4 linked regions of the Lytechinus pictus genome follow. The protein of the gene in region 2 purifies or fractionates together with the protein of the main gene of each other region. This does not show direct contact. Links are inferred from orthologs where the notes say so. Each region holds a gene or a part of one and is shown on either strand. Other genes may lie near its edges. The genes, in order: F-actin-capping protein subunit beta-like, serine/threonine-protein phosphatase PP1-beta catalytic subunit, coiled-coil domain-containing protein 85C-A-like and WD repeat-containing protein 82-like.

Region 1 (7,085 bases), on a different chromosome or scaffold from region 2:
AATGATAATTCATCAACAAATTCCACGCTCTCATTAAGCATATTAGATTAATAAATGAGTAAATAATATTTTCATAAATTCCTAATAAATAAATTGGCCCCTTTTCAGAATGGAATATCGACAAGTTTCATCTCGCGCTTAGGAATAATAGGAAGATAAGCATCATTTTCATTATGATGACAAAATGTCCTTAGAATGTCCCGGCCCTATGTCAAAATGATAATAAAAAATATCAGCTCGTGCTTCGCGCTCGCATGTTTATTAAGTGTGTTTCACATCCACTTCAAAATTTCCCTACACAGTGCTTGAAATAGTTTTTAAATTGACTCTTTTTCAGATCGGAATATCGAATGTTTCCATCTCGCGCTTCGTGCTCGCATTATTAATCTTCATGATAAAAAAATGTATTCAGATCGATGCTCAGATTCTAGGGCTAAATCTAAATCACGCGCACGCATGTTTATTGAGATAGGCAGCTTGTTCTTTATATAAAACGTTCTTAACTTATCAAGTTTCAGAACAGAATATCAATAATTTTCTGCTCGCGCTTCATGCTCGCATTATTAGGAAGATGCCCAACCCTATTCATGATTTACAAAACATGAATAGAGTGTCCCGTTTTCTCAGGTCTAAAATCTGAATCGCACCAATTGTTTAGTTACATACCTATTCCTTTTATGATTACAATTGCTTAGAATGACCTTTTTTAGGTCGGAATATCAAAAATTGTCAGCTCGAGCGTCGCGCTCGCATTATTTAATTGCTGAAATATGTATCGTCTTTGTGGCTAACTGCAAACAGTTCTTATCAGGCCAGAACGGTAATTTAAAATTTCTGCTCGCAGTAATCATTTCACGCATCTTGTTCAAGATCACAAACATGGCCCAGAAGGTTAAATTTGAAGGACAAAATACATGAAAGTTAAAAAAAAAAAATCACTTTTTTATATAGGGCTTATGAGATTATTTCATATTTATGTTGTTTTCAAAGCTAAGAAGCCCGTAAGAAGGAACTGTGACTAAACTACCCCCGAAATTCAAACAAGCAAAAATCCACTTTGAGCGGCCGATCGGGGAAAATATGGGTGAAAATAATATCAGGCCCCACTCCCTAGTGTCGAAAGCTGGATCCGCCCCTGTGACACATACACACAGATGAAAAAAAATGTTCCCCCATTAAAAAGCATGGACCCCTGTGCCCCCCAGGAAAAAAATCCTAGCTACGCCACTGGGTCTATAAAACGTTTAGCTATTTATACACCTCGAGTTGGCTTGAATCTCCATACCTATCATATTAATTTCATTCAACGTTAACTGAATAACACCGAGGCATATAATGGCTATCTATCATACGAATTGAAGAGTTTTTGGAAGTACATGGATTCATTAAAGAAAACTAAAATGATATACCACAGTGGTGCAATTAGTCAAATCTTTTTCTAGCGCCGGACGAAAAATATATTGCCTGTTGACAAGATGATATCGTTTTGTGATAAATTTTGACCTATAATCGAAAAAATAATATTCACTCTTTATCATTTCCCTTTCTCTCTCCTTTTCCTTTTTTTGCTTGGTCGGATCTTTTTTGGGGAAGAACGCACAAAGTCCGCCCCTTATTTATTCTCCAGTAATAGGATATCAGCCGACATCACTACATAGGGTGATAGTCTGGTGGCCCATTTCAAAATAATTAATAATTATTTTTCGTTAATTTCTTGCAGGAGACAGTGTTCGGGGGTGAATTTGCATCCTGCTATAACTCCAAAACCGGGGACCTCATCGGCTCATCGCTAGCATAGATAGTAACTACATCTTCAGCAGAATCGGCTCTCATTCTTGAAAAATCTGATTGAATTTGCATGTGTTTTTACGGTGAAATAAATCAACATTGTGATCCCTTGTTTTCAGGTCTAATCGGGGGTCTAATATATAATTACATAATCACGTACATCTTTGCACTTTGGCTTATTATATAACATACCTTGTAACATACCTTGTTGTGGGCGTAAAGTTTTACCTAAAAAACTTGTTTGCCCCTCTCCTCCTTCCAATTTCTATGATTTCATGAAGTCATTATAGTGGAAGATAAACTGGTACAGGTTATATGGCGATGTGTGGTTTCAGCAGGTAACGTTATTAATGGGAACATGGGCAAGTAAAGGATTGGTCAGGGTTAAACTTTTCCTTTTTGAGGTTCCAAGATTTCTCTAAGTTTGATTTGAAAGAGTTTATGGAAGTACTCTTCACAACTTGATTTGGCAGGTTGTTCCACTCTGATACTACTCGGTGTGAGAAAGAATTTTGTCTTTTTCGAGTATTTGCTCTGGGTTTCTCAATCTTATATATATGTCCTCTAGTTCTGGAGTCTTCATTGAATTTGAAGAATTTAGAAGTCTCTAGATCGTCAGTTCCTTGAGTTATTCGGAATACTTGGACAAGATCTGCTCTGTGACGTCGGTAAGATAATGAAGGTAACTTCAATTGGGCCAATCTTTCCGGGTAGCTTTTGACCTGTAAACTTGGAACTGCTTTTGTAGCTCTTCGTTGAACTCTCTCGAGTTTCTCCTGATCCTTCTTCAAGTATGGATGCCAAATCTGTGAACAATACTCCAAAGCAGGTCGAACTATGGACTTATAAAGTAGTTTGAAGCTCTTAGGTTCAAGGAATGAGAAAGATCTCTTGATGATCCCCATCTTCTTATTTCCTGCTTTTGCTATCTGATCTATGTGTTGAGAAAAACTTAGCTGATCGTCGAAAATGACACCCAAGTCCTTTTCACTGTGGCTGACTTCGATGGTCGGGCCATCCAAACTTAACTTATAGTCATAGTGCAGGTTCTTTCTGCCATAGTGAAGGACTTTACATTTTCCTGTATTGAAGGGAAGTTGCCATAAGATTGCCCAACTTTGAATCCTCAGTAAATCAGCTTGAAGGATTTCCCATTCTTGATCGTTGTTAACTTCAGCAAATAATTTGGTATCGTCAGCAAATAACTTGATAACACTTGCTTGAGAAGCTAGGACATCTGGTAAATCATTTATGAAAATCAGAAATAGCTCCGGACCGATAACACTCCCTTGGGGAATTCCACTACTGACTCTAACAGAATTTGAGAAAACTCCATTAACAACCACCCGTTGCTCTCTGTTCTTTAAGAAGGATCTGATCCAATTCAAGACACTACCTCTGATTCCATATGAATGAAGCTTAAGCAGAAGTCTTCGATGGGGGACGCTATCAAATGCTTTTTTGTAGTCCAAATATATACAGTCAATTGATTTTCCTTTATCCAAATCCTTAGTCCATTCCTCAATAACTTCCAGAAGTTGAGTAGCACATGATTTGCCTTTTCTGAATCCATGTTGATGTGAGCTATACAGCTGGTTTGTAACCATGTGATTAATAATATTTTCACGAATAATCTGCTCCATAACTTTGCCAATTGTACTTGTTAAACTCACTGGTCTATAATTGTTGGGATTACGTTTATCTCCTCTTTTGAATAATGGAGTTACATTCGCCATCTTCCATGCTACAGGAACAGAACCACTCCTCAAGGATTCATTGAAGAGATCGGCAAGAGGTTGGGCTAGTTCATCTGCAAGTTCTTTCAATATCCGATTTGGAATCTCGTCCGGCCCTGGAGACTTAGTTTTGTCCAGCATCAATAATCTTTCCAAAACCATATCTCTTGTAATGACAATATCATTAAGTGTAGAGTCAAAGGGTCTATCAAGAAATGGAGGAAGATTACTGGTATCTTCTTGCGTAAATATTGATGCAAAAAAGTCATTTAACACCTCAGCTTTATCAAAGTCATCATCCACAGTTGTGCCGTCTGGCCGAGTCAACTCTCCAAGACAGGATTTGGATTTTGTCTTCTTATGCCACTATTATGTGCAAAGTTTGGTGAAAATGATATGGATTTCATTTTAACTGTGGAATTTCCTTAATCACTACATGGTACTATCTTAATATACTATGGTAATTAAATGAAGATAAGGGGAATTTACGTTCGGTGTAATCAAGTATACACAGATTTTTATCTGATTTATAAATTCTAGCCAAACACTTCCGGGTGTAGAATGCGTGGTAGAATGAGGGTGATAAGAAATAATTCGTTCACTCTCTCCCGGGATTCTCCATCAATAGCTGAAGGAATTTCCTTAATTTGATTGATCATTAATTATTAGCTGATGGTTTGTTATAGATATGAAGAAATAGTCTGAAATTAATGAAAACTCTATAAGACAATGAAAACTGATGTAGAGTTTCGTCTTGAATATTCATGCAAAGGCCTTTGGTATTTTTGCCAAATAAGGAAAACCACTGGGAGGGCGTCCCTATTTGAAAAGCCCGGATGTACTTATTCTGCCATTTTGGGAGGGTTCACACGGAAGAGAGCGGCGACCGTAACAAAAACAAAGAGTCATAATCTATTTCTGAGAGCCTAAATTCAACAAAAAAGATGGTAAGTGAAGCTTAAACTCCTTGTAATATATTTATCTTATTTATTTCCATGGTTCTTTGTGATTGTATGAAATAACTGTTATTTTGTCGCTGGTTATTTGGAGTCGCTACTGTAAAGTCAGTCCCACACGTTGACAAATTTGTAGGGTGAGGTGAGACTACCGGGTAACATACCTGAGTAAAAAAAAAATGACAGTGACACTTCACAAATTCCCAATTTAAGGAAAAATATTTCATGAAAATATGATTATTATGTATGGCCTGAAAGAGTATATTCTCCCAAATATACTTTGATACCATTATTTATGTTAGGTAGGACCAAAAAAAAACGAAACTAAAAAGTAATCAGTAAAATTAAAACTTTTTCAGATTCAGAAATAGGCCTACTGTCTTTTAATAAAAGACAGTATTTCTGAATCTGATAATAAGATAGTGATACTGCTAATTAACTAGGCCTAAGTGATATATTTGATAATCATTGACAAATGTCATGACAGAAGATCTATTCTAGGACAAAAAAAAAATGAAACAGCATTCATCTGCTATCTCGAAGATGAAATTAGACTAGATTTGAATGCACGTTAATATGCATGTTATGAGAGGAGTGATACTTAAGTCTTAACTCAGTAGAGGCGCACGGCCAATATGGGAGACTCTCCGATAGGGGAGACAATCTCCCATATTGGAGACTTGCTTTGCAAAAGAACAAAAGAAACAACACCAACAAAAGCGTTATTTTTTCCACCCAAAATTTTGTCTCACTTAGGTCAGAAGCACTCACACGTATTGCGAGGTTAGTATTAGTATACTAACCTCGCACCACGAACCGCGTTTGGCAGTGGATTTCTAACTAGTGGGTCGCGCGTGCTGGGATCTCACTTCTTGGGTCCACAACACACGACTTCTATGGCTTGAATTTTCTGTGCGCGGCGGCATGTAATGAACCCTTGGGTGGGTCAGAAGCCCATTTGTTTTGTGTGTGGATGACAACAAAAATCCTTATCAAAACAAAAGTAGACGGTGAATTTTTAAAGTAGACGGTGAAAAGGGGTAATTTTTTCATGAGGAATCTGCCAATCACATTTTTATTTGCCGCCGAGGTAAACCTTTTGCAGCAAATGTAAACAAAGAAAATTGGTCTCCCAAACTGGAGATTGTCTCTGAAATTGGATACCCAAATTATTTACAAAAGTCTCTGATATTGGAGATAATCTCTCTCTTGGGAGACAGTCTCCCATATTGGCGATGCGCCTCTAGTGTAACTCATCATGTTCATTAAGAACACAGATTCTAACGTTATACTAGTAAGTAGGCCTAAAGTGCCCAAATATCGGACACTTAAGTTAAGCATAATTGGACCAAAACAAAAATACAATCATTGAATCAAATAAAAATCATGTTTATATCTGTAGGACAAATGTTGAATATCAATTTCATAAAAAATAGAATCGAAAAAATTATGGTAAACCGAAAAACGGAAATTATTTACTTACTACCAGAGGCTTTTTTTTGCAGAAAATCGGACGCAGTTTCCAAATATCGGACGCGTAGAGTTGTGCGCCGCGATCAATTTGGCGATTTAAATCACACTCTAGACCCCAAAATAATTGCTTAATTGTTGATAAAATAATATATTTTAGCTGTGCAAATGCCGATTTTAATTATTAGGGGAGAGCGGGGTTATTTGGAACGCGGGGTAAGTTGAAGCATTATAATTTTCTTTAACGCCTAAGTTAAATAAATTTATGCAATACTGCCCTCAATTTATTGCTATTATTGACAGCCATCCACCATATTACAGACAACACATGTGCAACAAGCCTGGTGAAGTTAGAAAGGAATTTTTGTTTTTTCACCTTCTGAGTAATTTTTTTCTCTTTCAAAAATTTTGTATTATCTCAGAGAAGTTTATAGGGGCAGGTCCAAGCTATTGTCCCCTCTGAAGCCAAAATTAAATCTTTGCCTAAATATAACATATTGTATGTCCTTTTAAAGCTTATACTCTGAAGTTTTTGTCTCACCTGCATAGCAGAGTGAGACTATAGGCGCCGCTTTTCCGACGGCGACGGCGGCGGCGGCGTCAACACCAAATCTTAACCTGAGGTTAAGTTTTTGAAATGACAGCATAACTTAGAAAGTATATGGACCTAGTTCATGAAACTTGGCCATAAGGTTAATCAAGTATTACTGAACATCCTGCCTGAGTTTCATGTCACATGACCAAGGTCAAAGGTCATTTAGGGTCAATGAACTTAGACCATGTTGGGGGAATCAACATCAAAATCTTAACCTAAGGTTAAGTTTTTGAAATGTCATCATAACTTAGAAAATATATGGACCTAGTTCATGAAACTTATACATAAGGTTAATCAAGTATCACTGAACATCCTGCATGAGTTTCACGTCACATGACCAAGGTCAAAGGTCATTTAGGGTCAATGAACTTTGGCCAAATTGGGGGTATCTGTTGAATTACCATCATAACTTTGAAAGTTTATGGATCTGATTCATGAAACTTGGACATAATAGTAATCAAGTATTACTGAACATCCTGTGCAAGTTTCAGGTCACATGATCAAGGTCAAAGGTCATTTAGGGTCAATGAACTTTGGCCA
Region 2 (7,223 bases):
TAACAAACATAAAGTCTCCAATTGAATCGTTTACTCGGACTATATTTATTTAGAGCTGGTAATCAAGTGCTCAATTTCAGTTTAATCAGTGCATGGACCTCACTTTCCATAATAACTGCACATTTTCAGCATAAGTGTTTAACAAGTATTCTTAATCTCAGTATACTATTTTATTTCCTTTTAACGGCCTCTCTAATTTTTCCGCTTGCGACCACTTGGATACATTTTGCTAAGGATTGCAACGGTTACAAAATACGTGAAGGCTTCTTAACGGCAAGTGCCCCTTTTAAGCTAAGAATTAAACAAAAAACAAACAAAAACACTGTATTAACACAAGTGCGCTTGTGTTCCGGCCATTCTAAATGTTAATTTTCCCAAGCCAACTTACTTCATGATGTTCCTTTGTATTTTGTGATATCTATTTTGTCTTTTTACGATCATTTCCCTAATGAATATTCCCGTGTAAATGTTACCCTACTAGTAAGATGGCGATCTTAAAATAAAATTGATTATATCAAAGAGCACGGGCGGATTCTGATTCTGCTTTCGCCAATAGTGAGAGGCGAAAAATATATTCATCCACATTTTCCCTGATCGGCCGCTCACAAAGGTGAGTTTTGTTGGTTAATTTCAAGGGTTAGTCTTCTTGGCTTTATTCTTATAAAATTGATAATTTCATCTCATAAGCCCTAATTAAATAATGCGAGCGCGAAGCCAGAGCTGATTTTTTTTTGTAATTTCATGTTGTTTGTCCTGAAAATTGAACATTCTTTGCAACATGATTGATCAAGAACAATTTTATGAAAGGAAAAATAAAGGAGAGATTTAGACCTAAAAACTGGACACTCTTTTTATATTTTGTAATCATGTAAAAGATGGGTATCTTCCTACATGAATCCCATGAATAAAACGAGCGCGAAGCGCGTGCAGAGCTTTTTAAGTATTCTAATCTGAAAATGGAAAATAAGTAAGCACGTTTTAAACAAAGAGCTAGCCATGCGTGCGCGAAGCGCGAGCTCTGTTTCTTTTCACTTTTTTTCACAAAACATATTTTATCATTGTGAAAAGGAAGAGTACTTCCTAAATCAATAATGCGAGCACATAGCTCAACTTAAATTCTTGATTATCCTATCTGACAAGGGGAAAATTTAAGCACTATGTAGAAAAAATTGTGAAGAGGATATGGATATGGATTGCACTTAATAAATGATGCGAACGCCAAATACGAGCTGATTTTTTTCAATATAATTATTTTGATATATAGGAACGGGATATATATTCAAAGCGCATTTTTGTATCATATTCCTCCTAGTAAGTGCGAGCTCAAAATTGTTGATATTCGGATCTAAAAGGGACAATTTGAGGATTAGGAATTCATGAAAAGGATATAATTATCTCATTTAATATTATAATAGGCGTAATGAGAGCGCAAAGTTTGCCGATATTAATTACAACATGTAAGCACTTTTGTAATGATGAATATGATGGGTTTATAATTTAATGCAAGCGCAAAGCGCAAGCCGAAAGTTTTGATAAACTCTCATTAAAAGGCCGGGATAGAATTCATATAGAAGTACATAACTCACTAACAAAAATACGAGCGCGCAGCGCTGGCTGATAATTTTGGACAATCAGACCTGAAAACAAATATTCTAAAATGAAGTACACAAGAGAATAGGTAGGCCTATTTCACAAATCAAAATTTCGAGCTTGCAGCGCAAGCTAAAAAAATGACATTCTAACCATAACACAAAATATTTTAAGTGCACTTTTTTTTCTAAAATAAATGGGTAAATCAAAGAAAATAATGAGAGCTCGATGTCCGAGCTGAAATATGTTTAAATGTAGGCCCACAGTGACTTCTCTGAACCAGATACTAATATTTGAAGCTCCGTATCAGCCTATTGAGCAAGATATGTCCGAGTCATCGAACAGGTATAAGCGATCATAATTTTTTTTCTTCTAATTTTCTAAGTCTTCCAATCGTCATCATCTTATTCACTTGTCTTCCTCCTCTTATTTTTTTCTCTTCTTTTCATCTTATCTCTTTCCCTTCTATTTCTCTCCCTTTTTTGCACCGCCAATATAGGGGGGGGGGGTTCTTTCGTCCCCCATGGATCCGCCTATGAGAAAGAGGTTTAAAATTGAGATTCCCAGCATAAATCAGTGTCATGGCAGCTCTATAATAGGGCAGTTCCTAGCTACACGGTGGGCATAATCCGCCTCCCCGCCCCCCACATGGTGACGTGTTAAGGCGGCAATCATTTGAATTAGGACGAGTGGAGGGGGGGGGGGGGTACCGACAGTAAAAAGGGCATTACTATGAACTACCAATACAACCTTGTTTACAGGGAAACTAGTGACTGCTAAATGAGGACGGGGGGGGGGGGGCTTGGCGACTTCACATTTTTCCAAAGGCAAGTAACAAAAAACGTTTGAAATACCCCCCACACACACTTTCAGAACGGTGCACGAACCGCGGCCGGCCGCCCCTGCAAAAGAAATCGATTATTCTTAAAAGCCCATCTCTGATCTCGACTAGAAATTAATAATATTTATAAGATAATAATAATAATATCTATAAAATATAGGGCTATATGTTCAATTCATCGGCATAATTTGATGCTCAAGTGAAGTCATTCATAACTATAATGGTAATTCAGTAGCCCATTTGTTTGTGAAATTTGATTGCCTTTTACTCCCGATTTGAAACGTCTAATTTCAGAAATTGAGGGCTGTGTGTGATCAAATTCCTTTATCACCACATTATGCATCTATACAGAGGCGTCAATCCTTGGGGGGGGGGGGGGGGGGCGGCAGGGGGGGGGGGCGATCGCCCCACCAATGAAAATATGGGGGGGACAAACATATCGTTTTGCCCCCCCCCCCCAATAATTCCGCATGTGCAATAATAAAGTAAGATTGTAATGTTACACAGAAATCAGCAAGCGATACACAACTCGTTCTTTATTTAAAATCGTGCTCAAAATGTCCGCTTTTTAGATTGGAATATAAAAATTTTCAGCTCGCACTTCGCGCTCGCATCATTTCTGTAGCAAAAACCCATACTGCTTTTCATGATTAAATAGGTGAATAGAATGTCTCGTTTTCAGTTCTAAACCTCAAAAGAACTCCCGCTCCGATTTGCAATAGCAATAATCTTTTGTTGAATATATGTCTTGTTCTTTATTAAAAAAACTCCATTAAACACAAATTTTTTCAGATCGAAATATCAAAATTTTCAGCTCGCGCTTCACGCTTGCATCTGTTGTTCTTTTAGATACCCATCTTAATCATTAGTACCAAAAATGCTTAGAAAATCAAGCTTTCAGGTCAGAATATAAAGACATTTCAGCTCGCTCTCGGCACTCGCATTATCTGTGTAGTGAAATATGTATCCTCCACATGAGTTACTACAAACAGGTATCTTTTTCCTGCTTTCAGGTCAGTATACTAAAAAATTTCAGCTCGCGCTTTGCGCTCGCAATAATTTGTTGGTGAGATATGTGTCTCTTTCTCATGAGTCATATATATATATATATATATAGGCCTATGTGGGTGTGTGTGTGGGGGGTGAGTTTGTTTGTTTTGATCGAGTGCCTTTGGAACGTTGATTCATGACTTTGCCCCCCCCCCCCCCCAATCTGAAAAATGGATCGACGCCCCTGCATCTATAGGCCTACAGCAAATATCTCTATAAAAAAAAAGGAACTTGGAAAAAAAAGAATCGATTCCGTTTGTTACGGGACGGCAGCCGGGGTTATACATTTTTGTGGTAAATTAGACCTTCATTCAGGGATCGGATGAAAATTAATGTAAACAAAATTACATGTAATCTTCAGAAGACGAGCAAAATAATTGAAAACCGAAGATCACTTAAAAATTGCACAAAGTCGCTAGCCATGACATTATTCCCATCATGGACCTACTCGCATAACTTGGCCGAAGTGTAGCAATCAAAATTTAGGGAAAACCCCCTCTTGAGTAGGTTAAGCGGGCCCATAAGCGGACCGGAACAATACAAGGAAGTACTAAAGGGATGCATGCCCTGGTTTTTATCTCGACTAGGCTTATGAGACATATTCTTATTAAAGAATGTCATTTCATTGAAATTGTCTCTATTTTTCACTCAATAAATTGATAAAACGTATGTCCTGAAATTTGTGACCCTGTACTATGAAGGATGGGGCTCATTTTCCAAATAAGGAAATTCCCGTCCCTATGACGTCATGGTCCTGAAAGTGTATTGCAGGGCAAGTTTGATTTTGTAGAGAATTATTCTGAAAATAATTGGAATTAGATTATATGAAACTATTGTTTAGGTACATAAAATCTTTTTCTGTTGGAATCTATATTTTTCCTTAATTTTAGACTCTCGGCTTTTCTCACAGAACAGCTCGAATCTCCGAGCCGAAACAGAATTCCTCGCTCATCACGTCCGATCATTATAACGTACCGGTACACGGCCTACTAGAACGGTTGGCCTGCCTGGGTTAAAAATCGCCGATCAATAGTTTCTCACCGGCACTTTCTAATCATGGCGGATTTGGAATTGGATATTGACAGCATTCTCACTCGTCTACTGGAAGGTATTACTGTTGACATATTTGTAATGTGTTGTGGGTGATTATTTTGTACATTGTTGCTTTAATGGGTCAAAAATCATGATTTTTTTTCGAACCAGGAAGCGTTTCAGTAAACGCTGCGTGTAATCCGCAGATGCTGTGTGTTGCGTGAATGAGCTCGGTACGGTACCGGTATAGGCCTAGTGCATTCGTGATCAAATGCAAATGACTTCAATCAGCTCCAAAGCAACGTCGGTTCTGTTCATTAATATTTATGAGAGCAAATCGTTGTTCAAGAAAGTGCTTTTTTAGTTGAACACATTTGCACTTGCAAAATTAAATCTGCCATAACTGGTGATGATTGTCAGATGAATGGACATGATGGAGGTGGAATTAAATTTGAGTCAACTGAAAATGAAATCAAAGCTGAATTTACAGAGTTATTTGTAACGTTACAAAGTGTGCATGCGTGTATTCTGGGGGGGGGGGGGGGGAGGCGAGTAGGCGAAAAAGAGGGCGCCAAAAGAGAGGAAAAGAAAATGGAGAGTTAAAAGAAGGGAAAGAAGAGAAAGGGGAAAAAGGGAAAGAAATAGAGAGGGGAAAAAGGGAAGGGGGTGGGTGCCGAATTGATGTTCGGCCTAGGGGGGCGCCAAGTTGATGTTCGACCTACATTGTAGGAATGTAGGGGGCGCTGAATTAATATTTTACTTTAGTGGCGCCAAATTAATAGGACTTAGTGGGGCGGGGAATTGAAATTCGACACTGGTGCCGGATTGATCCTCAACCTGGGGGGGGGGGCAGAGAATTGATGTTCTACCTAGGGGTGCCGATTGGAAGTTGATGTAGGGGCGCCAAATTTATGTTCTACCTAGGCTATGGGTTGCCGAATTGATGTTCGACCTAGGGGTGCCAAATTGATATTCGACCTAGGGGTACTGAATTGAAGTTCAACATAGGGGTGCCAAATTTATGTTCTACTGTACCTAGGGGCACCGAATTGTTACATTTGACATGGGGGGGGGGCACCAAATTGATGTTCAACCAAGGAGGGCGCCGAATTGATGTTTAACCAAGTGGGGCGCTGAATTGAAGTTCGACATACAGGCGCTGAATTGATGTCTGACCTAGGGGCACCAAATTAATGTTTGATATAGGGGGCGCTCGCATCAATTGTTTAGATAGATACCCATCCTATTCATGGTTACAACATGTACTTTAGAACATCCAGTTTTGGTTTTGACTTCGGAAATCGGAATATCAAAAATTTTCACCTCACACTCTGCGCTCGCATAAAGTGATTTGTTAGATACCCACCCTGTTCATGATTACCAATAGTGCATATAATGTGCAGTTTTGGGCGGAAATTCAAAAATTTTCAGCTTGCGCATTGCGCTTGCAAAAATGTTGAGATAGATGCCCATCTTCTTCTTGATTACCAAAAGTGCTTTACTTTCAAACTTTAATAATAATATAATAATTACATGTATGGTTGAAACTACCCCTTATCGACCACCTAATCTTCTAAGCTTCGTATCTGCGAAAATATTCATCAATTTTTACCCAGATTTCGTCTCATTTGTGCAGAAAATTGAGCAGATCAGATTCCTATGTTTCGCTCGGCGACTCTGATTCAATCCGCGTATCGACGAACAACGAATACGACAATTTTACATTTGCTCATTTGCACCCGTCTTTTGAAACCGACCACCCGTGTTACGCTAAGTTTACGGCCGATTCTTGTCGCAGTGGTGAAATATTTTTACTTTTCAAAATCAGTTCTATGATGTCAACATGTTAAATTATCGTCTCAATACTTCCACTGCGAGCTCCGGCACATGATTCGACGATTGACGACGGATATTCGTTCTAAAGCTGTTTCCTATCGGATTTCTTGGTTTTTCAGCGGGGTTTGGGTCTGGTCAATACAATTTTGATTAATTCTACTAAATTTTTACTTTTTGTTTCTTTTTTTCTCGTAAAATCGATTCTTACCGTTTCTACGGACACTGCGCCTACTCTCCCGCGCGTATCGTTTGTAATACGCAATAATTTTAACACGCGCAAGGTGGTCAGTTTCAAAAGAGGTGGTCGATATGTGGTAGTCTCACCATACTTCTTATTAAGCGCTTTTTCAAAAGTTACAAAGCGCTGTACAAATGACAAAACAAATACAATCGGTGAAAACTTAAAACAAAACTACACAAAATGAGATTTAAGCATCTTCTTAAACACATCAATAGAAGAACATTGTCTAAGTTTATGGGGTAATCTATTCCAATATTTGGGGGCAAACACAGAAAATGACCTATCACCTACTAATTTTAATGTTCGGGGGATGTGAAGATGGATATGTGATGATGACCGAGTGTTGTTCATTGCTTGAGGTCAAAATATCAACATTTCTCAACTCGCATTTCGCGCTTGCATTAATTGTTTCTATACGTATACCCATCATGTTCACAGGTACAAAAAGTGCTTAGAATATGTAGATGAAAATATTTTTTGGCCTCCCCCCCATAGTGAAAGCTGGATCCACCACTGGTAAAGAAACGTCAGCTCCTGCCCACATAATTTTAGTAAAATTGAAACCCCAAAGTGCTTAAAATTCTATGCTTTCAGGTGGAGGCATTTCATAAAGCTGTTTGTAAGTTAAGAGCG
Region 3 (7,715 bases), about 3.8 Mb from region 2:
TTCGCTTTTAGAAATTGTGCCCTCACGCTCTTCAAACCTCGTTTTATCTGGTCATGCAAAAGTCAAGTCCTCCATCTGATGTCTGGATGAGCGGTCGCACGCTGATAAGCTATTCAGAAATGAGGTCACCGATGCGGAGCGGCCGCCATCGTTGTACCGTCAAACATGTGCGGTTCTCAGAGAGAGGGATGGGGGTGGGGGCTTCTGGGAACTTGAACCATTAGTTTACGGACTATAGACGAGCGATAGAACTGGAGGAGGCCGGGGGGGGGGCAACTGCCACAAAAGTAGCATTTTTTGCTTCCAAAACTCCCTTGATAAACAAGCAGAGAACTGTAGGATGATAAATAGAACTTTTCTTTAATTTGTACATTTCTGTTTTTATTGGTAAATAAAATCAATCTCAAAATCAGTCACAATATTGACAAGTCAAATGAACCATAATTGGAAACAATCATAAAAAACAATTTTAACAACAATAAAATAATTGATAATAAAAAAGCATGTATTGTTCAGGAACGAAGCTCACTGAGACATACAGTATAAATTTTAAATCAAGGATAAGTGAAAAAAACCATGTAATGTGAGGATCGCTCCTGCCATTACCAGAAAAGACATTGGCAGTAATAAAACAACACATTGTTTAAAAACAAACAACAACCAGAAAAAAATATATAACAGTACGTAGTATATACTCTTTTTCTTCTTCTTCTTCTTCTCCTCCTCCTCCTTATCCTTCTTCTCCCTCTTCTTCTTCTTCCCAGTTCTTCTTCCTAGCTTTCTTAGGTTTTTTTTTTTTATTCGAAACAGCATTGCATATTGGTTGATATTGCAATTTCCCTTATAGAAATTGCGCCCTCCCGCTCGTCACACCTCATTTTATCTGGCCGCGCTGCAAAAGTCGAAGTCCTCCCTCCTCCTTCTTCTTTTTCTTCTTCTTCTCATGCAGTTTATCGACGATAAACTCAGTTTTTCACTGATAAACTAAGTTTTTCGATCGAAAAACTAAGTTTATCGAGAAAACCCTACTTTATCGCGTGATAAACTGAGTTTTCACTTGAAAAACAGAGTTATTTTATAAAATATTTATCAAGCGAAAAAATAAGTTCTTCAAATTCAATAAACTAAGTTTTTCGATTTGAAAAACTCAGTTCATCGAATTTGAAAAACTTAAATTTTTCGATTTCGAAAAACTCATTTTTTTTCCATTTTGATAATCACGAACAGTTATTCACCATTAATATATCGGTTGTGCAGCCACATACCTATGGCGGGGGAGTATGGGTAAGGGTTTTAAAATAGGGTGATCATTGTCTTTAGGTCGAAGGGCACTGAAAGCAGGGGGAGCAGAGGGGGCACTTGCTTCCCACAATAAAATTTTGGGGTTTGGCAAAACGATTTTATTGGGGGGAGGGTAAAGATAAAGGGATTTAAAAAGGGGGATCAATGGCATTGGGTCCAAGGGGACTGGAAGTGGGGTAAGAGGGGGCACTTAATTGCCCCCCCCCCCAAAAAAAAAAAATGGGGGTGTGACACAGGATTTTGTCTTGGGGTATATGCATACAGATGTTAGAAGAAACTTGAAAGCGAGTAAGCAAAGTAGCCAGCTTGTCACGCTTATACATAATTTTTTCCAGAGTGAAATTAACGGATTTCGTGCACAATTTGGGATAATTTTATGAAAATATTCAGTGAAAAAAAATGTAAGTTTTCAAAATGTTTGGGGGTAACTGTCCCTCTCCTGCTGCGTGCGGCCATGCCCCGCATGTGCCCCTTAAAATCAGAAAATAATTAATCATAAAAAAACAAATGAAGGCACAATTTCATAACTAAAAAATTGAGAAATTTTCGCCCCCAAGGAGCACTATCACTTATCATTATATTCAATGTAAATGCAAATCCTATGGGAATTACTTGGGGCAATCACGTGCCCCCCGGTAAATTGCCAATTCGTCCACTGCCAACTCGTCCACTCACCACATGGTCTATATATACCTTCATTTAGTCTAACGCCGTTCCGTCCATCAACGTTTCGTCTACCAACCATTTGGTCCAATAACCATTTGGTCCGATCGTCACTTCGTCTAATTGCCAGTTCGTCTATCGTCTCATTAATTTTACCCAATTAACACTTAATCTAATTAGACCAACTGGTAAATGGACTAAATGGCTATTGGACCAACTGGTTATTAGACGAAATGGCAGTTATACTAAATGGATATCGGACGAACTGATGGTAGACCAAATGATAGCAGACGAGTTGGCAATTGGACGAATTGGCATTGGACCTAATGAAAATACCACCCCACCCGCCACCATCCGGTAATTCTGCTGCTCCTAAAACGAAAGGGCTCAAAATAATTGCAATTGTCTTACTTAACAGACTGAAAGTTTTGAACTAACGAGAAAAGAAAAAAAGACAATGAGTTTATCAGAAGTAAATAATGGCATTTATGTATAATTGGGGCACATGGGCACGCTGGAGAAGAATTTTATTATGACATGTGTGACAAAGGGAGCTAAAGAGGCGATAAATTTCTCAGTTATGAAACTGCATGACACTTTATAGACAAAAGTTCCTTCATTGTTGATTCTTTTCATTTTTAACTTCAAGGGGACACATTAGGTTATTGCTGTACTCAGCCAAGGGGGCAGATCTCCCCAGACATTAAGAAAAACCTTACAAAAAATTCACCAAAAGTGCCACGAACTCCTTCAATTTCAACTTAGAAAATGCAAAAGTGCCCCATGACAAGCTCGATTACTTAATTCGCTCCCTCCTTTTCAAAATTCTTCTAAAATCTTTATGCCTCTTGCCCCCTCCAGGCCCCAGGACAAAGAAAATCGCACAAAGCATCTAGGGAAGGGGGCAAAAACTAATTGCGCAACCCCAAAATTTATTGCTGGGATGGAGCAAGCTCCCCCCCCCCCCCCTCTGCCCCTCGCTTCCAGCGCCCTTGACCTCAATGACAAGGATCCACCTTTTTTAGAACCCACTTACACCCATCCCCCAAAACATGTTTACCAACCCAAACTTTATTTGCAGGGGTGCAAGATTCCCCTCTTCCACCCCTCTCACCCCCGGCTTCCAGCCCCCTCGGACTCCATGACAACGATCCCTTTTTTAATCATACCCACTATACCCCTGCAGATCACTGACTGCACAACGGCCCGCACAACGGCCATAATGAATAACTCTGATTATCGAAATTGAAAAACTCAGATTATCGAAAAAAAATCAATTTATCAAATTTAATAAACTAATTAAGTTTTTCGAATTTGATTTTTCGCCAATAAACTTAGCTTTTCGCTAATAAACTCAGTTTATCACTTGAAAAACTCAGTTGATCAAGAACTCTGTTTTATTTCAGTCGAAGCATAGCCTCGCGAAACTCTGTTTTATCAAATGAAAAACTAAGTTTATCGGAAAAAACTTGTTTAATAAACGAAAAACTAAGTTTATTCAATGAAAAATTATGTTTCTCATTTGAAAACCCCCAAACTGAGCTTTTCTTGATAAACTGAGTTTATCGGCGAAAAAATGAGTTTATCGGTGAGAAACTGAGTTTTTCACCTTTATGGGTTAATGGCGCGCCATATCCTCCTCTTCCTCCCGTAAGGCAAGGGCGGAAATCTCTCCCCAAATGTAGGGGGACCAGGGACTGGAAATTTGACAAGAAAAAAAAAATGGTTATCGCCCCAAATGTAAGGTAATTTCGACCCAAAGAAATTTGACAAGCAAAAAAAAAAAAAGTTATCACCCCAAAAGTAAGGTCATCTCGTCCAAAATACATGTTTTATTTCGATTTTTAATGATGTATTTCTTTCCATCATAAAAGACCAAAATAGTAGGGGGACATTTGATATTGTGCCCCCCTACTATTTTGGGTAGGGGGACGCGTCCCCCCTGGGATTTTCGCCCATGCCGTAAGGACTTGGAAGGGTTGGAATCCAGTTTGATTCGCACGCTGCTATGTCTGACAAGAACATTTGATCAAAGAGTAATATGCATGAAATCTGAAGGTGTGTTTAAAGGGATGGTCCGGGCTGAAAATATTTATATCTGAATAAATAGAGTAAAATTCACAGAGCAAAATGCTGAAAATTTCATTGAAATCGGATAACAAATAACAAAGTTATTGAATTTTGAAGTTTATCAATATGTTATGAAAACAGTTATATGCACATCGTCATGAATATTCATTAGATGGGCTGATGATGTCACATCCCCACTTTCCTTATATGTTATTACATGAAATCATAAATGTTTCATTATTTCATACATGTGTACATGATGTGTCTCCATTATGATGAAATAAGTTGCGGCAATAAATAACTAATGCACTTAATCAGTTATCAATCAATTGGTTCTTGGTAGAAAAGTTTTTCATAAACCTAATTTCATATAATAAAATACAAAAGAACAAGTGGGGATATGACATCATCAGCCCACCTAATGAATATTCATAAAGACATGCCTAGATCTGTTTCACATGAATTATGCAAATATTTAAAATTCATTAACTTCGTTATTTGTTATCCGATTTTGATCAAATTTTCAGCATTTTGTTTTGTAAATTGTACTCTTTTTATGGGATTGAGATATAAATATCTCCAGCCTGGACCATCCGTTTAACCATGGAGCTTGGTTTAACAGGGCTATCGATGATATATATAAGAAGGGGAACTGATGGGCGTGGCCATGCAAGTGCGTGTCCCATAATGGACCTGCGATGTCCATGGATGGTGTTTTCGATCAGTGGTTTTCATAGAAAGCGCGAAACATAATAATAACATACATGTAATTCATCAGTGGAGAGGAATGTACCACGCGCCGAACGTTATCAATTCCGGTTTTGCGGTTTTGGGGGAAGACCCCCCCCCCCCCCCATTCCTATATATATATATATATACTAGTATATCATGCCTTCCAAAAAACTTCGAGCATTACTTCTTACAACTGTACATATTCTTCCGCTGGTATGTAATCCCCTTTTTATCTTTTTTAACTTAAATAAATGCAAAAATTGATTTAATGAAAATGAAAATATCACATCAAAATTTAAATTCCAAAATTATGTCTTTGAAAACCCAGTTCTTCTAACAATAATCTAAATTATTTAATGCTAGCAGAGGGAGTATATTGGAATGAGAGGACAGCAGGTTCTGTTAAATGATTGAGGTCAGAGGTCATGATGCGGCCATGTTTACTACAAATTTGACGTGTGTACTATGATGGAGGAGAGCAGCAAATTATCGGCAATTGAATGCATTTCAACTTGAGGGCTACCTATGTGAGTATTCCATTATTTCCTATCGTCAAATATGTGCTTGTAATTATGTTTGTTATTATTATTCAATTCCACTGATGAATTGGATTACAGTTACGTAGCGGCTGTACGCTTTTCAAAATCGTTTCTGACTTCGCCTTCGCCTCGGCCGGGTTCGAGTTGGGCCCAGTTGCAGTGGCAGTGCCTTGGTTTGCGCTGGTAAAGGCTAGCATCGCGTCGCCGGTCGCCTCAGACCAGAGACAGAGTGACAGAGATCGAGAGTCTTCGTCGTCTTGGCTGCCGGGCCGGTGCGGTGAGCTGTGCCTTATTTTGTTAGGCCAAGCGAGAGCGTGCCGTGAGCCGAGACTTTGAATGGACTGAGTCTGAGCTTAGAGTGATACCTCGGTCACACTCACAGTTGCTCTACGGACTATGCCTACGGCGAGTCGAAAACAGCCGTTTAAATTTTTTTTGTACCAACTACATAGGCCTAGCCCTAGGTGGTTTGATTAAAAATGAATTAAAACGGCTGTTTTCGACTCGCCGTACGGCCGTCGTAGACGTAGTCTTAGAGCAAATGAAATGTTAGACAGGAATAACCGTCGTTTCTGGGGATTTATTCAACAATTTCTGACATTTTACTATAATCCCCATTAACCGACGGTAGGGTATACGTGTTGGCTCGCATGTGTTCTCATTCCCACCCTTTTGTCAATTCACAGTCCAAAGTTTGATGTAATTTTACACATCGAATTTACAATCTAAGGATGTATGGTTGGGGGTCCTAAAGCTACGCGGGTCCTAAAGCTACGCACCACTCATCGCGCATGCAATTCCAATGGCAAAATAAATGCGCACTCTAGCTCTGTGTGTGAAGCTGTGACGAACGATCCCTATTCAATTTTTCTACAGAGGCTGCAATAAATCCTCGAATGCAGAGAAAACCAGCAAATGTTTGGAATTTCGGAGTTATATTCACTTTGATTTCATATTTTCCTATAATAATACGGACATATTTTAGAAATTGAGGCACAGGAAATACTATTTCTTTGCATGATAAATTGAGAGCGTAGCTTTAGGACCCCTTCTACATCGGGCGGCGAAATTAAGAGGTGTTCGGAAAACACGGCGGGATTTTCGTATTAGTGAGTTTTGTGATATTTTCTTCTTGGTTAAGGATATTTAGAATATTTATTACAAATTAGTGAAAAATAATTGTTCAAATATTACAATTGGCATAGTTTTTATCATTTGGAAACAAAGTGCGTAGCTTTAGGTCCCCCCATCATATAACCAACAAACTTTTAAAACTGGATATTTTGTTAACAAAATACTTTAAACGATATAGATGAAAAGGCATGAAAAATTATACTTTACCGATGTTTAATTGGGTTGAACACGATAAAAAAGGTCAATATGGCAGCCAAACTATGAAATATTTACAAACGAACGGAGAGGGCGTCAACAATCACGAATGTGATATCGATATTGCTTTCGATATTATACGATCTGCTCCTTATTTGAATTCATGAAAAGGATACGTACACTCTACCTCGGTAATCATATAACGCGAGCGCGTAGCGCTTGCTGGTTTTTAAAGATAAAATTATCATCACTATTATTTACTATTATTATATAATTATCATTATCGCTAAAATCATTGTGGTTTTTAAATATTATCGTTGTAAGTATTAATATTTGTAGTAGTAATATTTCATTATCGAGGTTATGTTATACCGAGGTTATACCGAGGTTGTTTTACCTGACTGCTAAGAAAGCACGAATGCCTGTGAGCAAGCAACCAGGGGACCAACGGCTTAAGGTCCTCTCCGAGGGACCTGGTAATGAGGATAAATGCCTTACCAAAGGGCACTAGCGCACCACTTGGGAATCGAACCCGGGTCACCGGAATCCGAAACCCCCGCTCTACCGACTGAGCTATCGCGCCTCCTACTGAGCTATCGCGCCTCCTACTGAGCTATCGCGCCTCCTTATCATCGTTATTATGTTATTTTGTTATTATGTTATTATGTTATTTTGTTATTATGTTATTATCATCGTTATTATGATTATTATTATTTCATTATTATCATCATCATCATCATTGTCATTATTTTCATTATATATATTATCACTATGGTTAAGAGATAAAAGAATAATATTTTTCAGATAAATGTTATAGTAAACTGGTCGGGTTGATAAAATTTCTTGTTTGAAATTGAATTCCCAATTGGTCATGACCAGTTCCAGTCATTCTCTGATGATGTCGAGTACCAGTGGCGTACCGTGGGTCACGGCATTGGGGGGGGGGGGGCACCAGCAAAAATTTTGAGTCATTTACTGGGCTGGCGAAGCGCGCTCAATTGCCAGGTACTGACGTAATAGAAGCATTTTAAGGACTGTTTCATTAAACAGATATGTATCTCACTGATTAAATAATGCGAG
Region 4 (7,578 bases), on a different chromosome or scaffold from region 2:
ATGTGGAATATTTCATATATACTGACCAGGATATGCATATAATTATTTGGTATGTGAAAATAAGCGAAATTTAGTGCCACAACTTTTTAAATGGAATTACCATTGCTATGCTTTTCTGATCTGTGCTCTAATTAGTAAACTTGTTAGAGTTGAATTTGTGTATCCATCACCCCTTCCTTTATGTAAAGGTGTATTGATGTATAAGCACATGTCGTGCAACATCCATGCTCTTCCAAATTAAAATTTCATAAGAATTCAAATTATATTGTGCCCATTTTTATATACACTGTACTTATAGATATTTCATGGCTGAGCACACGAAGGTCCAACTTTGAAGGCACATTAAAAGTAACAACCTTCTTGTCCTCAAACTTCTATCCAATTTTTCACCCTGAATGTGTGATTGAACAGTATGAGAGGGAGGGAAGGGAATATTTACTCAAAATTTATATAGAGAAAGTTGAAATGAGAAAGGCAAAATGGTAAAGATGCAGCCGGAGAGAAAACAAGAAACAGACGATCAACGAGAAGAGATGGAAAGTAGAGGAAGATCAAAGAGAGAGAGAGAGTGAGAGAAAGGGGGAAATGACGAGGAATGAGAAAAAGGTGAGGAGAGAAAGGCGAGACGAGAGGGAGATAAGAGGGCTTGATATAAGGGAGATGGGGAAATAAAAGAGAGATATAAGGGGGATATATAGAAAGGGAAGGTATAGAGAGGGAGAGATGATAAAGAAGAGGAAAATCAGAGAGAAAGAAGCCAAAGAGAAAGGAAAATTAATAAAGAGGGAGATCGCGATGATATAAAGGGGAGAAATAAGAGAGAGAGGGGCATGAAAGTAGAAATGGAAGAAATAGAAGGGGATGGAGAAAAGGGAGGATAAGAGAGATGGACAGAAGAGGAAAATCAGAGAAAATGAGATGAGATGAATAGTTGAATGAGAAGGGAGGTTTAAAAAAAAAGCTAGAGAAAAGGGACATGATTTCTAATCGTTAAAAGATTTTTTTTTAATGCAACCAGCTTGTAGGCCTTTATTGTTCAGACAAATTGTAGGCCTACTCAGAAAGCAAATTTGTTGTTGGGCCTTTCTTTGTCATAGTGTGCGCGTGAAAAAGGTCGAGTTTTTATGATTTCATGTCTGTATGTTTACTCCCCTTTACATTTTTTTAATAAAAAAATGTGACTAAATCAACATTTTCAGTTATGAAAGTATTCAATAACATATAGTTCATGATGTAACAAAGCAAACTAAAACTTTAAACAGCACAAGGAACACTTTCTTTGCGTTCCTTTCTCCCATCTGCCTTCACGCAGCATTTGTCGACTAGCCAGTATTGACCTAGCAAAATGGCGGCGCGCTCAGTCGAGCGTGAAGTCCGATGCTCTTCGTTGCCGCACGGCTTTGTGTACGTTGGGAATAGGGACACGTATTCCACGTATTTCTAGTTCAGTGGTGACGACTCGCTAAAGGTTCCACGGGCCTAATTACATCAGGAAGGCTAAAGATATTCGTTCGACCCAACCCATTCGAATTTTTGTCAATTTGATATTGCTGATTGTCAAAAATGTATAAATATGATTCAAAATCTAACACTGATTCTAAAAATGGTAACTACTGAACTTCCTTTGCCCAAATTGGGAAGATAAATAAGTGACTTGGAACTATTTTTTGACTGGCGGAATAATTAGGGCTATTTTACTGTTTCAGTTGATGAATTCGATCCATTCATAGTTATCTTCATAAATGGCGATTTATTTTTAAAATGAGCTGGCTACGGTACCCTATCCTGGTCAGATTTGGAATGTCAGATATATAACCTATCCATTGGTAGTAAACATTCCACCCTCTAATTTCACATTTATTTTTTATGAATTTTTCAAAAGTGCCATTTTAACACACAAGTCTATGGGGAATGTTTTACGCGCGTGACACCTGTAAGTAATATGGGAAATCCCTAGTAGTGGATGGTATACCTGGCCAAACTGTTCAGTAGCAAACAATTTCTCATGCACTTATATCAATATGTTTAGTCATCAAGTGGTGCAAAAAAATGGATTTAATGGCTAGCAGGGCTACATCAGGTAAAGTTAGTAGGTCTGGGTAGCCTAGGAATGTATGTAGATTGGTCAATGTATAGAGTCAATGCCTCTTTATGTTCTGATTTATCATTGTTTTGTGTTAGTGTACATCACCTACTTAGCATTAGAAAGACCTTTAGAAATTGCTCATTTTAAAATTGTTCTTAGGAAGGGGGTAGGTAGAGAGGAGGTAGAACTTTGAGAACTTTACTGAAGAGAACTAGAGTGGTACCTTCAAGAAGGAATTCAGAAAGGGCACAGAGTAAGGTAAGGTATCTAATAGTGCTCAACTAAGGATGAGGGGGGGTGGCTGTGTGCTGCAATCTTAGCATAGCCCCCCCCCTCTTTATTAAGCCATGCCATCTATAAAATTATCCTTCTTTCTCTCTCTCTCTCTCTCTCTCTCTCTTTCTATCTATCTATTTATGTATCTCTTCCTTCTTACATTTGAGAGGCAACGTACAGCCCTAGGAAGATTTTGAATAGGTCAAATGCAAGTATACTAAAGTAGTATCTCATTCTTTTATTGTTTCCTCATCAAATCTCATGTATATTTGATATTTGGTATATGTTTGGGGCAGTTCTGGTATCCTGATATCTACACAAAATTTACATACACCTTTATATTAAAATTGATAGGGACCTATATTGTCATTGCATTCACTGTTGGGCTATATGCAGGTAGGATTTGTATACATCCATATATAGTGAAAATAACATGTATGAGTAACACATTAAAATGGGTCATTGCATAGAAAATAGACATTTTCAATGCATTTATTTGTGCTAGTGTGAGTGTACAGATATATAAGAATAGCAAAGTAGCTATTCAAAAAAATAAAATTCATAGGTCCTATAATATAGGTTCCACGGGCCTAATTACATCAGGAAGGCTAAAGATATTCGTTCGACCCAACCCATTCGAATTTTTGTCAATTTGATATTGCTGATTGTCAAAAATGTATAAATATGATTCAAAATCTAACACTGATTCTAAAAATGGTAACTACTGAACTTCCTTTGCCCAAATTGGGAAGATAAATAAGTGACTTGGAACTATTTTTTGACTGGCGGAATAATTAGGGCTATTTTACTGTTTCAGTTGATGAATTCGATCCATTCATAGTTATCTTCATAAATGGCGATTTATTTTTAAAATGAGCTGGCTACGGTACCCTATCCTGGTCAGATTTGGAATGTCAGATATATAACCTATCCATTGGTAGTAAACATTCCACCCTCTAATTTCACATTTATTTTTTATGAATTTTTCAAAAGTGCCATTTTAACGCACAAGTCTATGGGGAATGTTTTACGCGCGTGACACCTAAAAAACGAACGACGATCATATTTTGTTATGTTGCAGACCAACGAACGTAGAGGGCAGCAACACACAAGCGTGTTGCTCTAAGGAAGGTCAACTCCGCTCGAATTTTGTGACCACTTTAAAAAATAAGGTGGGGTTTTGGGAAATTTGTCGAGTTGATTTTTTTTCATTTGCTAATTTCAAATATTTTTTAATGAACAATTATTTAGATCGGTTATTCTGGGTATAAATATTAAAAATATTACTTTTATTTTTAAAGAAAATATTTAGCTTAAATAATCATGATTTTGACATTTGTCCTCATTTTGGAATATTAAGCCTGTGACGAGGATACCTCATATCTCTTATTTTCTTCTGCTGAATTTCGCTGCACCACTAATAAATGCATAGACAACCACCGTAATAATCGAGGTCATTTTTCTGGCCTGGGTGTGCCGAGTCTGGGCCGGTCGCGCAGCTAGCTAGTGACGTTGATGATGCGCTGGGGCTTCAGGCGACTCGTCATAGATCTAGCAACTTAGACAATGACGTCTAATTTGCCTGGCCTGATTTGAAGTGTAATGGCTTCAGGGCTGATGTTTATCAACGATGATTGTTCAAGGTTAGATTTCAAATTTTAAATGTCATTTGACTTTTAAGTCTATAAATCTGAAATAAAGGCGCTGTATCCCCGAAATCCGGGTCTATAATTTCAACTCTGAGTCCGAGACCATGGCATGGACGGCGAAAAAACAACCCATGCATCGGATGCATTGCATTGGCTGCGCGCTGCGCTGCAGCTGCACTGTGATGATGGGTTCAGCGAAGAGCTCAGAGAAAATAAGGTGGTTATATTCAATCCCGAAATGCTTTGCGAGTGGTCACAAAATCGTCTCGACGCAAATCACCTAATACAGCCGTCTGGTGAAATCGCTGATATCAACAATCACCGATTTGGTAATGATTTTAGTTTCCTGAAACTTATATTTGTAAAGTTTTAAATATCAAAGTATGTTTTTATATGTATGTATATTCCTCAACATATTTTTTAAGTTATCTTTGGTATTGTTGTAGTCATATTCTTTCATATTCGTTTTTTGATCGCTACTAATCTGTTGTTGTATTGGATCGGCATTTGATTTCGTTGGCATGAACAATAAAATACGCGCGCAGCTCAGCTGCATGCGCGTATCGAGTTGACCTTCCTTATAGCATGCAACACGCTTGTGTGTTGCTGCCCTCTACGTTCGTTGTTGCAGACGTAGACTAGACGTACACTACATACACTATACAGTACACGCGACGAGTTTAATCCAAGTTTGACGTACATGTATGTAGTGACCGACCAAACCCCGACGATCGATCATAACAGGCAGATTTCAGAAACCCAGCTTAAATTCAACGAACTCAAATCTTGGACTTGAAATTGAATAATCATGAAGTTGTCCGACCAAGTAATGAGAAGCTATCGTGTTGCGAAGCTTTTTAAAGACCAAAACACGGAACGGATCAACAGCATCGACTTCTCACACAACGGAGAAACGCTGATATCGAGCAGTGAAGACGATTCCATCGTAATTTACGATTGTTTAGAGGGAAAGTAAGTGGTGCATGCATGGTGCCGGTGCTGCTTATACCTTGGTCACATTTGCTCTACGGCGGCCTTACGGCGGCCGTAGATACCTGAATTCGAGAGATTTCTGCGGCGGCCGCAGAAAATCTGCGGTGGCCGCAGGGTCGACGTATGGCGGATTCCTACTTTTTACAGGCCGTAGAATTTTAACTCGGAGTTAATATAAGTATAACATTTTTTCTTTTCTACGCTCGCCGTAGAATTCTACTAGAAATTAGACTAGGGTCACTAGCCGTAGGCATGGCGTAGAACGGTCTACGGCGGCCGTACGTCGAGCGTACGGTGGCCGTGAGGCTGCCCTCGTGTTTTTCTTCCCTCCTTTCCCCTTCTCCTTTTGTGTTATCTGCTCGGGAGCCACCAGGTGCGTATTTAGAATTTTGCACCTCGGGGGCCCGACCTAGGCTATAGTATAATTTTGGCCCATATGCATGTGTACTTTTCAGAAAAAAAATGGCGACCCCTCCTCGCCAGGCAAACGGGTGCCTTAAATGCATGTTGAATTATCTTATTTCATAATCACATGAAAAAGGGCAACTGCAGATAATTAACTGCAGACCACTTTTTTAATGATGACTTGATAAAAAGTAGTTTCTATCCTAACCCAGAGAGCTCCCGCCCGCTGCGCGGGCGGGAGCCCAGAAGCTTACCGTGTATTTGACCATATTCACCGGACTAGGGTGATTTATGGTCTAAATATTTCTCCAAATGAATTGTGAAAACAGAAAGTATACAATTACCACGATTATATGGATGAAGGTCTAACGAGTGGCAGTTTCCTGACATCTGGGCACAGACTGGAACCTCAAAAAAACGAAAAGTTCTCTCCTCTTCGATCGGCCATTTTGTTACGATTTTTAACAAAAATGGCCGATCGAAACGGGGGTAGAAGGAGAGAACTTTTCGTTTTTTTGAGGTTCCAGTCTGTGCCCAGATGTCAGGAAACTGCCACTCGTTAGACCTTCATCCATATAATCGTGGTAATTGTATACTTTCTGTTTTCACAATTCATTTGGAGAAATATTTAGACCATAAATCACCCTAGTCCGGTGAATATGGTCAAATACACGGTAAGCTTCTGGGCTCCCGCCCGCGCAGCGGGCGGGAGCTCTCTGGGTTATTTCTATCCATGAATATGATGTAATACCACTTTTTTTAAAGAACAAATGTGACCAGGAAGCACAGATATTGCCCTTTCACCAGCGGCTAACTTGGGTAAAATTATTATTATTATCATTATCATTAGTATTATCATGGGGAGTTAAATGCTGATTTTTGTTGTTTCCTAGGGTGTAATTCTTACTTAAGACTAACGCGTTTATTAACATCTTAACTTTATTCATACAAACAAGTTAACATGGTTAAGGGAGATTTATTTCATAAGTTCAAATAAATAATGCGAACGCGATTTTTGATAGCTTGTGTATAGACCTGGAAATAATATTCTGAGAAGTTTTGTAAGCATGAGCAGGATGGGCATCTCTCTATCTGTCAGGGCGAGCTGAAAATTGTCTATATTCCAAAATGACCCAAAGTTTGGAAATTCTAAGCATTATTGGTAATCATGAACAGGATGGGCACTTAAAAATTATTCGATCCGAGCGCGAAGCACGAGCTGAACCTATTTTATATTCCGTTCCAAATTCTACACAATTTTGGTAATCATTAGGTAATCATTAACAGGATGTCCATCTAACTAATCATTCGATGCGAGCGCGAATCACCCCAAAGGTCGATTTGCCCCCCCCCCCCTTCCTAGGTCGAACATTACCTATCGTATAATATTCAGATCAGTGTCAAACATTAATTTGGCGACCCCCCCCCCGTCCTAGGTCGAACATCAATTTGCCCCCCCCCCCCACTTTTATTACTCCACCTTTTCCCTTTTCTCTTCTTCTTGTTTCCCCGTCCTTTTTTATCTCCCTTTTCTTTCCCTTTCTTTCCTCCCTCTTTTTGGTACCCCCTTTTCGCCTACCCGGGGGCCCGGGCCCTGAACCCCCCTCCCTCCCATCCAGAATACGCGCATGGGCATGGTGCGACACTTTGAAAACTTTCTGAAATGAAATGTCTAATGTAAAATATCATGATGAGTATGACAAGCAATTCATGGTATACTCACTGTATAGTCCCCCTGCGGCCGCCGTGAGGGCGCCTTGCGGCCACCTCGCGTCTGCCGTAGTATTTGTCAAAAACCTACGGCCAGCGCAGGGTCGCCCTAGGGCGACCGTACGTCATGATTTCAAGGACATACGTCAGCCGCTGATTTTTTCTCCATAAATTAAAAAATATGCCGTGCGGCGACTGTAACATATGTGACCGCTAGAGTAAGTGGCCGTGGAAATTCTGAGGCGACCGTAGAATTGCTACTCGCCGTAGAAATTTTAGAATCTACGGCGGCCGTAGCAAATGTGACCAAGGTATTACCTCGAGCGAAGTTCGTGCAGGCTCCACTCCACTTCACTACCGCTACACTGACTAAGTCTACGGCTACGCTCCACCTACCCGAACTTCGGGACCGTGAACCTGATCTGATATTCCGAGTGACAAAGGTGGGGTAAAAAAGTT

Evidence for each region.
Region 1: the proteins of serine/threonine-protein phosphatase PP1-beta catalytic subunit (region 2) and F-actin-capping protein subunit beta-like purify together in Homo sapiens (affinity purification with mass spectrometry; 3 studies listed by BioGRID and IntAct, with this or other methods). This does not show direct contact. The link is inferred for Lytechinus pictus from reciprocal best matches to the Homo sapiens genes PPP1CB and CAPZB.
Region 3: the proteins of serine/threonine-protein phosphatase PP1-beta catalytic subunit (region 2) and coiled-coil domain-containing protein 85C-A-like purify together in Homo sapiens (affinity purification with mass spectrometry; 3 studies listed by BioGRID and IntAct, with this or other methods). This does not show direct contact. The link is inferred for Lytechinus pictus from reciprocal best matches to the Homo sapiens genes PPP1CB and CCDC85C.
Region 4: the proteins of serine/threonine-protein phosphatase PP1-beta catalytic subunit (region 2) and WD repeat-containing protein 82-like purify together in Homo sapiens (affinity purification with mass spectrometry; 5 studies listed by BioGRID and IntAct, with this or other methods). This does not show direct contact. The link is inferred for Lytechinus pictus from reciprocal best matches to the Homo sapiens genes PPP1CB and WDR82.

The regions. Positions count from the first base shown.
Region 1 is NC_087258.1:11,166,499-11,173,583, reverse strand, and holds the start of F-actin-capping protein subunit beta-like, read left to right. Parts: upstream 1-4,080; 5' UTR 4,081-4,468; coding exon 4,469-4,471; intron 4,472-7,085. UniProt on the Homo sapiens protein: F-actin-capping proteins bind in a Ca(2+)-independent manner to the fast growing ends of actin filaments (barbed end) thereby blocking the exchange of subunits at these ends.
Region 2 is NC_087251.1:11,502,831-11,510,053, forward strand, and holds the start of serine/threonine-protein phosphatase PP1-beta catalytic subunit, read left to right. Parts: upstream 1-4,221; 5' UTR 4,222-4,253; intron 4,254-4,391; 5' UTR 4,392-4,537; coding exon 4,538-4,589; intron 4,590-7,223. UniProt on the Homo sapiens protein: Protein phosphatase that associates with over 200 regulatory proteins to form highly specific holoenzymes which dephosphorylate hundreds of biological targets.
Region 3 is NC_087251.1:7,709,714-7,717,428, forward strand, and holds the start of coiled-coil domain-containing protein 85C-A-like, read left to right. Parts: upstream 1-4,692; 5' UTR 4,693-4,980; intron 4,981-5,130; 5' UTR 5,131-5,294; intron 5,295-7,715. UniProt on the Homo sapiens protein: May play a role in cell-cell adhesion and epithelium development through its interaction with proteins of the beta-catenin family. May play an important role in cortical development, especially in the maintenance of radial glia.
Region 4 is NC_087247.1:65,194,184-65,201,761, forward strand, and holds the start of WD repeat-containing protein 82-like, read left to right. Parts: upstream 1-4,576; 5' UTR 4,577-4,819; coding exon 4,820-4,983; intron 4,984-7,578. UniProt on the Homo sapiens protein: Regulatory component of the SET1/COMPASS complex implicated in the tethering of this complex to transcriptional start sites of active genes.